Caenorhabditis elegans: one gene and its partner. The protein of the gene in region 1 interacts with the protein of each later gene in a biochemical or structural test. Each region holds a gene or a part of one and is shown on either strand. Other genes may lie near its edges. The genes, in order: pgl-1 and let-363.

The links.
Region 2: of the proteins of pgl-1 (region 1) and let-363, one has a biochemical effect on the other in vitro, tested with the Caenorhabditis elegans proteins (one study listed by BioGRID).

The regions. Positions count from the first base shown.
Region 1 is NC_003282.8:6,973,999-6,979,268, reverse strand, and holds pgl-1 (Guanyl-specific ribonuclease pgl-1), read left to right. Parts: upstream 1-1,950; coding exon 1,951-2,058; intron 2,059-2,125; coding exon 2,126-2,257; intron 2,258-2,304; coding exon 2,305-2,451; intron 2,452-2,495; coding exon 2,496-2,854; intron 2,855-2,902; coding exon 2,903-3,243; intron 3,244-3,289; coding exon 3,290-3,432; intron 3,433-3,478; coding exon 3,479-3,650; intron 3,651-3,694; coding exon 3,695-4,218; intron 4,219-4,262; coding exon 4,263-4,652; downstream 4,653-5,270. Other genes in the region: prkl-1 (LIM zinc-binding domain-containing protein), read left to right, coding at 1-59, 128-241; him-3 (HORMA domain-containing protein), read right to left, coding at 733-1,019, 1,067-1,239, 1,286-1,499, 1,542-1,743. UniProt on the Caenorhabditis elegans protein: Guanyl-specific endoribonuclease which cleaves the phosphodiester bond in single-stranded RNA between the 3'-guanylic residue and the 5'-OH residue of adjacent nucleotide, resulting in the formation of a corresponding 2',3'-cyclic phosphate intermediate.
Region 2 is NC_003279.8:5,243,942-5,248,854, forward strand, and holds the start of let-363 (Target of rapamycin homolog), read left to right. Parts: upstream 1-1,801; 5' UTR 1,802-1,839; coding exon 1,840-1,962; intron 1,963-2,017; coding exon 2,018-2,118; intron 2,119-2,171; coding exon 2,172-2,466; intron 2,467-2,510; coding exon 2,511-2,840; intron 2,841-2,889; coding exon 2,890-3,101; intron 3,102-3,145; coding exon 3,146-3,206; intron 3,207-3,256; coding exon 3,257-3,429; intron 3,430-3,568; coding exon 3,569-3,682; intron 3,683-3,728; coding exon 3,729-4,026; intron 4,027-4,633; coding exon 4,634-4,747; intron 4,748-4,796; coding exon 4,797-4,913. Other genes in the region: mrpl-47 (Large ribosomal subunit protein uL29m), read left to right, coding at 452-546, 601-765, 816-921, 965-1,086, 1,135-1,351. UniProt on the Caenorhabditis elegans protein: Serine/threonine-protein kinase that regulates the mRNA translation machinery, probably by modulating the activity of translation factors such as eIF-4G and eIF-2. It may have some protein kinase activity instead of lipid kinase activity.

The DNA of each region.
Region 1 (5,270 bases):
ATTCAGATGATGAACAGCTTTACATTTCAAATATTATGGCAGCCGCCTCGTTGAGTAGAGTAAGTTTTTAATTTATTCCACACTATCAATTTGAGATTTTCCAAACATTCAATCATAAAAAATTCAGGTTCCTGCAAAGTCTTCCAGTCGTAAATCAAAGAAAAATGAACCAATGATGATGTCGGGAGGCGGTGTTCGAATGGCAAAGAAAAAGAAAAGTTCCAGATGTACAGTATCTTGATATACTTGTCCAAACATTTACTGAATTCCTGAAAAGCCCATGTGATTCTTTTATACTTCTTCTTCAATTTTAAGCCTTTTCCTTCGTTTTTTTCTGCACGGTGAATTGTCCCATTTTATTAATTCAATATTGAACCTATTTTTAACACCCAGCCAACAGTGCAAGTAATGTAAAACTTATTTCAAATGAATATTCACTTCTCATTTGTCCGAATTCCAACACTGCTTCAATGAAATAAATTTATCTGAACTGGATTTGAATGTTTGGTCCATTTCAAAATAATTTATTACGCTACTTTTTTCTAAATCTACGAAACACCAGACTTACAGTGAAAGAAAAATAACTCAATCAAACAGATGAAACTATACGTGAAGAAGATAGATTGATATCACACAAGAGAAGACAAAAGCACGACAATCAATGAAATTATAAAAACAATGGCTAAAAATATAAAACAAGAGAAACATTGCACATGAGTGAAAACTTTTCGACTAGTCCTTATTCTTCTTCGTAATGCCCTGACTGAGACCGTAAGGGGAATCTCTGGAAATTCGTCCCTTCCTTTTCGATTGGTTTGCCATGATTGACATATTTGGATTGAGTGTGGTCGTTTTATCCAGATCGAAGTCTTGCTTCAAGTATTGTGAAGCAGCAAGCATTTGAATTTTGTGATGACCGCCACACACGATTCCAATAGATGCTTTCCTAATATCCTGATTCAGCGTATAGAACATAGGACTCAGCAGATAGCCTTCGGGTGTATAGTCTTTTGGAGCTTCTTAAAATAACAGTTAGAAATAGACTAAAGCTGTGAATGTAACCTACTTTCAGTGTACGAAACACGGAAACTCGCGTCGGACCCTTGAGGAAGCGGCTCCATTTTCTTGATACACCGGTGAAGTTTCTTGATTGTGCTTGCAAACATTTGTTTCGTGTTGTCGGTATCAACGAATTTCGCCTGTAACAGTTCTTGACTGCTTTCGTTCGTGTCGATTCCGCTGAAAACAATTGAAAACGAATAATTGAATAAGACCAGCAGCTTACTTATTTAGAGATACGAAAATCTCTCCTTCATCTCCATAAGCAAACCTGAACGCAAACACTTCATTAATGTCTTCCTCGTTTGGCTTCTTGTAGAACACGATTGCGAACTCTCGCAAATAGCCTTGTTGAATCGCATCTCTCAATCCGTCGAATGTTGAAGACACACGCTTTGCGGCAGGAACACTGCTCTGGAATGCGGTGACCAACAGTTTATCTGTATAAAAATATTTGTGATACATTGTAAAATAAGCCATACCTATTGTTCGAGTTTTGAAGCATTTTTCGTCCAAAATGCCACGGCGATCGAGAATGAAGGCCGAAGCACATTTTATGTAGCGAAGCGCAAACATTTCAGAATTTTTTTCAATCTCTAGATCAACGGGAAACGTGGCCTTCCACTGGCTGGCTATAGGAATTTCAGACTCGCGGTGCTCAACAATCTGCTCTTTCGTCGCCATCGCAAACCTACAATTACTGAAATATCATCGTGAAACAAATTAAAATGTTTAAAAAATAATATCTATAAAATCTATAACAAGTTAAACATATTATTTAATTATAAAACCCCGCATTGATTAAACATATTTTGATTTGAAAAAAAAAACTAGAAAATAGGTAAAATAAATCTGGAAATAGTTCAGAAACTTAGAAATTATTAAAGGCGCATGGAAGTTTCAGATCTACGGGTCTCGAAACGAACAACTCGACGCGAACGCGGAAGTTGCAATTTCGATCTCGTCCCAATTTTCTTTTCCGTTTTCTTACTTTTTTGGGTAAATTTTGCGTTTTTTTGAATTCTAATCTCGAAAAATTTTTTAAAAATTTAAATATTTATTTCAGTTTCATCCATTTCACATGGAGGCTAACAAGCGAGAAATTGTGGATTTCGGTGGGCTGAGATCCTACTTTTTCCCAAATTTGGCCCACTACATCACGAAGAATGACGAAGAACTGTTCAACAATACATCTCAGGTTGGACTATAATATTTAAAGACCGATTTTCTATTATTCAATTTCAGGCCAATAAGTTGGCTGCTTTCGTGTTGGGAGCTTCCAAAGACGCTCCTGGAGACGAAGACATTTTGGAGATGATCTTGCCGAACGACGCTAACGCTGCCGTTATTGCTGCTGGCATGGACGTTTGTCTTCTTCTCGGAGATAAATTTGTAAGTGTGAATTAAACTTATTGTAATCAATTATAACGTTTTAGCGTCCGAAATTTGATGCTGCTGCTGAGAAATTGTCAGGATTGGGACATGCTCATGATCTGGTTTCTGTCATCGATGACGACAAGAAGCTCGGAATGCTCGCCCGTAAGGCCAAGCTGAAGAAGACTGAAGACGCTAAGATTCTTCAAGCTCTTCTCAAAGTAATCGCAATCGATGATGCCGCCGAAAAGTTTGTTGAGCTCACGGAACTTGTCAGCCAACTGGATCTGGACTTTGATGTTTATGTCCTAACTAAAATCCTCGGACTTATCTCTGAGGAGACTAGCGACGAGGTCGACATTATCCGTGATAACGTCGTCAACGCATTTGATAGCTGCAAGCCGTTGTTGAAACAGTTGATGTAATTGTTGTCCTTTTCAAAATAATTCGATTTTTTTTTTCAATTTAGGTTGGATGGTCCGAAATCTGAACCTGCCGATCCATTCATTAGTCTCCTCATGGATCCACTCGAAGAGTCTGTTGGGAAAGTTGTGAACCATATCGCTCAACTTTTCGAGGAAGCGAGTAAAAATGAAGGAGACGAGTCACTTGTCTTGAGATCTCAACTCGGATATCAGCTCTTTTTCCTTATCGTTCGTTCACTTGCAGATGGAAAGCGCGAGGTTTCCAAGAAAATCCTCTCTGGGATTCCTACGAGTGTCAGAGCGGAAGTCTTTCCAGGATTGCAAAGAAGTGTCTACAAGAGTGCGGTGTTCCTCGGCAATCACATCATCCAAGTTCTTTTAGGATGTTAGTATTTTCGTCTTTGTTTACTTTTAAAATCTAAATATTTCAGCTAAGAAGTCTTTTGAGGATTGGGATGTTGTTGGAGTCGCGAAAGACTTGGAGAGCGCCTGGAAAAGACGAGCCATTGCGGAACTTATCAAGAAGTTCCAAGTCTCAATTCTAGAGCAATGCTTCGATAAGCCCGTTCCACTGGTGAGTTAATGATTCTATAAACATTACTTACATGACCGTTTTTCAGATTCCTCAGAGTCCACTAAACAATGATGCGGTGATCGATAATGTGAATAAAGCTCTACAGTTTGCACTGTGGCTTACAGAGTTTTACGGATCCGAGAATGAGACTGAAGCGCTGGGCGAGCTTCGTTTCTTGGATTCCACTTCAAAAAATCTTCTCGTCGATAGCTTCAAGAGTGAATATTCCTTTTTTTATCTCCTGTTAACTTTTTAATTTCAGAATTTGTTCAAGGAATCAACTCGAAGACTCATGTCACTCGAATTGTTGAATCACTGGAGAAGTGTTGTTTGTCCGATACACCAAGTGGCAGAAAGAGCAATGTGCAACCATCCACTTCCCAACAGCAGGATTCCGCCTACACGAAAGAGGAAATGACGACGGTTCACAACACATACAGCGTAAATACTAAAGCTCAAGTTCTCAACGGTCTCAGTGATACCAATTCTTCCGGGTTACTTGTCGATTCAAAGGATTCACTCAGTCTTCAGGAGATTTCTTGTGACGAAGTGGATTCTTCGACTTTGCTAAGCTCATCAAGAAACATTGGAGAAGGTGTTACTGTAAAAGCGGTCGATCCTGTCCCAGAAAAGGTTAACGATGCACAACAACAGCAAACAGTTAACGAGATCGAGATGGCTTCGGATGCCAATCAAGATACTTCTTCAAGTGCTTCGCCAGAAGTAGCGCCAAGTTTTTCCACCGATGGCTGGGATTCTCCAACGAAATCAGTAGCTCTGCCACCGGTATCGCGTTCATCGTTTCAGAATTATAAAAATATTTCTTTCAGGGCATGCAGCAGATAGATGAAGAGGAAACCACAGTTGCTGACAAAGATTCTACACCACAACCACAAGCTCGTGCTGAAACTGCATGGGGGTCAGGCGACGCTACTCCAATGCCTCTTCCTGCCCCGACTAATCAATACAAAGTCAGTGGATTTGGGGAAGCCAAAGTTGCAAAAGGATTCGGTCAATTTGCTCCCACCAGTTCAGCTTATGGAGGAGGAGGTGGTCGCGGAGGATATGGCGGTGGAGACCGTGGAGGCAGAGGTGGATACGGCGGAGATCGTGGAGGTAGAGGTGGATACGGCGGGGGAGACCGCGGAGGACGAGGTGGATACGGCGGAGATCGTGGACGTGGTGGTTACGGGGGTCGTGGTGGACGCGGAGGTTTCTAAACTCCAACTATTGAATGTTTAATTTGTTTTTTAAGTATACACTTCTTGTATACTTACACGTTTTACGCACATTATTTATTCTAACAATCTTGTTGTAAAATCCCTAAAACCTTGACTGTCATTTATTATTTATTCAACCTGTTTTTCCTTGTTCCCGGTAAATGTTTGAACTAGATTGTTGCAAGAAATTAACTCAATTAATTACACGTATATCTCTTTCTGCGGCTTGATGAGAAAAGTGATGTCTGAATCGACGGTGCCGAATGATTGGTGGATCATAAAATTAACAGGTGGCACTGCATGCATTCTTATACAATTTCAACTGATCTTATCATACATTTACGCATATTAGAGTTGTAAATCGTTATGAGACATCTGCATTCGAACATAACAAATACCGTATTTCTTCTATTAATATGGCTGCAATACTATTTTTCGATGGTCTTCCCGCTTGCAATACTAATAGGGAATGCAAGACTATTAGGGAGTGCAATACTAATTTTCAGAGCATTTTCTGACTTTGAGCTTACTAGTTTTTTCCTGAAAAAGCTCGAATCATATGTAAAAATTCAGAAAATTTGATTTTCATATAAGTTCAAAAACTTCGATCTCGTAGAA
Region 2 (4,913 bases), on another chromosome or scaffold:
TCGGGGACTTGTTTCAAATTTTAAGCGCTTTCAAAATTTAATAACAAAATTTTTCTAGGTGCCAGAAGCTTCCAGTTTAATCAAAAAAACTGACCTCCAGGCATATAAATGACCGCATTTATTTATTGGGAGATTAACTAAGTTTTCATAATTTCAAAAATTAATATCTGACTTAAAATGAACTTTTTTGTCGAAGAATTTTTTCAAGAAATAATTACTTGAAGTTAATTCAATGTTTTACTGAAAACCCATGTTAAAAGTATTAAAACTTGCTATTGAAATTTTATCTAGAAAAAACTATTTTTTGAATTACCTCTGCTATGGGGGAGGCAATTGTGCGGTGGAGCGCACTTGCCGCCCATTTATTATTTTTTGGCAGCAAGGTTTTCTCCAAAATATTCTATTTTTTAATGTTTTCTTTTGTTTTTATTGAATATTTTGCTCTTTATATATGCAAAATTTTGATTTTACCAATTTTCATTCTTTGAGGTTCTTCAAATCTACAATGTGGCGTAGTTTACCGAGTTTGGTGTCTTCGGCTGTTCGGTTAGTTGATAAATCGAAGTTTGTTGAATTCCAGTTAATTTTTGCTTCTTTTAGATCACAAAATGCCGTCAACACACGATTTTCCAGTACAATGAAACAATTTTTCGATGATGAAGCGAATTTTGGAAAAGCAGAGCTCCGCCCGAAACATCGGCCGGGCAGATCGTGGACAGCAGAAGAACTGAGATTAAAAAGCAATTCAGATTTGCATAAGCTTTGGTAATTTAATGGCAATTCGGTTTTAAATTTATTAAAAATTTAAATTTAAGGTATGTGTGCTTGAAGGAGCGAAATATGCTGATAACGATGAAAAAAGCGCACACTTCACGTGCCCGGAACATGCCAAACCCAGAGAGACTTGATCGTGTTCATGAGGTATATTTTAAAAATTTAATAAATGCAAAATGATATATTTCAGACAATGGATCGTATAGAATCAGTAGTTCACGAGCGAAATGATGCGGTCTTCCGTTTGGAAACTGGAGAATCCGCGGCTCCACGCAAGAGAACAATCACTTCATTCGCTGGATTTACATATCAGTGAGTTCCTGATAAAATTAATTTTTTTAAAATAAAAATATGTTCCAGAAAACAAGCCACAGAACACTTTGCACCACCTCAACTCGGCCAGAAAGAATACGAAACTCCATATCTCGACGACGATGCCTACGTGATGCAGAAGCTTTGGCAGGAAAAAGAATTCATGAAAAATCGAGATAGATTGGATGATGAGAAGAGACGAGCGGCACGAACAGAAGACATGGACAGATTCAAGAGAGGAGCTCCACGAGTTTTCAATCGATAAAAAGTTGTTTCTAGATATTTTTTTTGTTTTCGAGTAGGCTTTTAAAAATGTTGTTTGCTTTGCTTCCTTCCTCAGTTTATTTAGTTTTTCAAAGAATATCCATTGTTCTTTTTTCTTGATATTTTGAAATATGCAACGGGTTTTGTCAGCCCATAGTTATCTGATATTACAAAAGGCTCCGTGTTGTTCTCATATTTTTCATTGAAAATCCCTTGATTTACATAGGAAAAAAAACCTAATTTTTAGCTGAAAAAAATTTAAAAAGTGGTAAAAAATTACCTGAAAGTTGTCTATTATCGAACTATCAAGCTATATTTTTCTGAAAACGGCCAGTTTTGAGCACTTTCTTGATTATTTCAGCTGGAAATAATTTTATTTTCGGAAAAAAACCAGTGATTTTCTATGCTTCTGATCATTCTCATAACTTTTTATTCTTAACGTAATTTTAAGCCCACAATGCACTAAATCGGCAGAAACATCTTTGAAAAATGCTCCAACAACACGGAATTAGTTTTCAAATGAATGCCGATAGACAGAACAAAGCAGCCACAACTTCCAATCGAATAGTCTCCGCTCCAGCTACAAATGAATTTGACGAGCGGCATCGTAAAGTTAGTATTTCTTCTCCTTTAAACAATTTTTAAGGAAAAAAAAATCATATTTCAGCAAGGGATTGATGCTGCAAGAGCTCTTGCTTCACAATATCGGAGCCGAATTACGGAAAATAGAGATGCAAATCAACGACAGGCTGCTCGAGAACTCAGCAGGTAGTTTTTTTTTTAAATAAAAGTCAATAAATTAAATATATTATTTTCCTCAGATATGTTCGAAGTGAGCTGAAAGACGAGCCAAATACTTTTAGTGATGCTTTCCTGAATGCAATCGATGGACGAACAGATATAGCCTCTCAGAGTGCAATTTATAATTGTATGAAGTCGAATTCAAATATCGATCAGAAACGAGCCGGTATCTATCTCATCGTGTGCTTAGCTGAAACTCATTCTGGAAATGTTATTCGATATGCGAATTATCTTCTGAAAATGTTAAATAATGGAAATGGATTAGATGAAGATACAGTCAAGATGGCTTCAAAAGCTCTCGCTTTTCTGATTGCGGTAAGTAATTTAATTTTTTTTAAACCAATTTTAAACATTTGCAGACTTGTAAATCATACGCGGCCGAGCTGGTTGATCGTTGTCTTGATCATTGCCACGAATGGCTTGGTCAAAATGTTCCACATAGTCAGCAACCCAAAAATCAACAGGAAATTGATCAAATTCGTCGACTCGCCGCTTCACACCTCTCTCGTGAGCTCGCACTGGCCACACCGACAGCATTCTTTCTTCGTGTAAACTTATTTTTCAAGTATATCTTCAACGCTGTCAGAGACAAGAATCCAGCTGTAAGAATCGCCGGAATTGATGCATTACACGTGGTTTTGACAATTGTTTCACAGCGTGAAGCAAAGAATAAAACTGAGTGGTTTAAGGTGATCAATTAAAATTTTGATCTTTCGTTAGAATGATTTTATATTCCAGAAATGTTTCGATGAAGCACTGGAAGGTCAACCAAACCCATCGCAAAAGGACGATTTGGATAGATGGCATGCCGTCGCCCTGATTCTCAATGAACTTCTTCGAATTTCTGATCAACGATTCGAACTCATCAGATGTGAATCCTCACAGTTTATTAAACAAAAGTTTTTGAAAGAAGACGAAGAAGAAGGTGTTGAATGGCTTGTCCTAACTAAGTAATCGATTCTTTTTCATCTATTTAAAAACTTGTATTTTTAAGGCAACAAACTATTGTGGAAAGTGTGACTGCTCGAAAGCTGGTTTTGGAACGATTTCCGAAGGTAAAAGCTGAAATTCTTCATTTCCCGAAATTTGTTATGTTTTTTTCCAGATACTCGATTGTGTTCGTCAGATAATACCTCTCGCAAACAAAACTTCATCCACGAAACAGCAAAGCTCGATTTACCTGAATACAGTTCTCATGCAGCTTCTACCAAGAATTTGTGCATTTCCACAATGTGATCGAACTTTTCAAACAATCTCATTCGACACTTCATTTACTATGTACGTAGAATGGAAGAGGACTGATGTTTATGGGCTTTTAGCTTTTATAGACTCGAAATGCGCTAAAAACGAATTTTGTAACGAGACTCAAAAAAAATTATGGTGATTCAAAATTTCCAATAATGTTCAATTTTTTCAGTCTTCAAAGAAATGCGGTCGCTGCTCCAGCAATCGGAATGATGATGCTCTCGAATCCAGATGTACATGCCACACATATCGAGAAAACAATCAGTTTTATCTCTGCTGCTATCAAGTAAATTTGAAATTAGTACACTTTTTTTAATAGTTAAATTTTGTAGAAAAACGACGAATTCTGATGTTCTCGATAATTATTTCACATTCCTGTTCCTATTTGTGGATGCTTATCACGAACAAGTGACGACACAAATCAAGGCAATAATTCCACAATTAATGGATATTACCCTGTCTCGATCGCTGGCAAACGTGCTAAAAATGATTATGATGAGAATTCCGAAACTGCGGCTGAATGTTCAAGATGGTGTTATGGCTTCTGTCTATCAAACACTCACTGGATCTCTAATTCCACCAAAATCCGAACCGATTGGAAGGCCTGCGAGTCCTAAAGCTATTTTGCAGGTTTGTTTCGTAGAGAAATTTTATAATTTTGCTCGAAGTAATTTTTTTGAATCTGAAAAGCACATAACATTTTTTAAATAAAGATCAGAATCCCATCAGATTTAAAAACGCTTACAATTTTATCTTTTTTGAAATAATTTTCCGTCAAAGTTTCGACATTTTTCTATATTCGAACCAAGGGCGTCGTTAAAAATTTGTATGATTTTTCGCTTTTTTCAGATATGTTCGAAAAACAAAAGACAGAGAAGCTATAAATTTATCGAAATTATCTTTTGAAAAATAGAGAAATGACCAGAAATTTTTCGAAATTTTTGATTTTTGTTTCCAGAAATCGTAAATTTAAAAGCCGAAAAATCGAAAAAAAAACCTAAACTTTGCGGGGTTTTCAAATATTTTCATAATCAGCAAAATAAGAAAATAGAAATGGCGACTTTTTAAAATTTAAATTTTTCGAACAGATTTCCTATGATATTTTATCATGTTAGCATTAACAATGGTTTTAAATATATTTCTCATTGGCGATATTTCTGTTGTGCAAAGAAGTAAATTCAAAAAATCTCAAATGAGAGTTTTGGGGTTGTATTTATGCAAAAGATTTATATTTCAGAAAGCAGAAACCGATCCAAAAGAGCTTCAACGAATCGTGCTGGCTGTCGATGTGCTCGGTGAATTCTATTTCTCAAGAGGTGCCTTGCAGAGAATCATGCAATACGTTGCAGATGTACGTTCGAAAGTTTTCTCGATTTTTCTGTAATTTTGTGGTTTTTCAGTACTACTTGACAGCGGACAATGTGGAAATCCGTTTGGCTGCTGTCTCTTCGTGTTGTGAAATGGTCGTACCATTTGTTGGAGTTTATAAAAAAGTTACAAGTGACAAGAGAAATAGT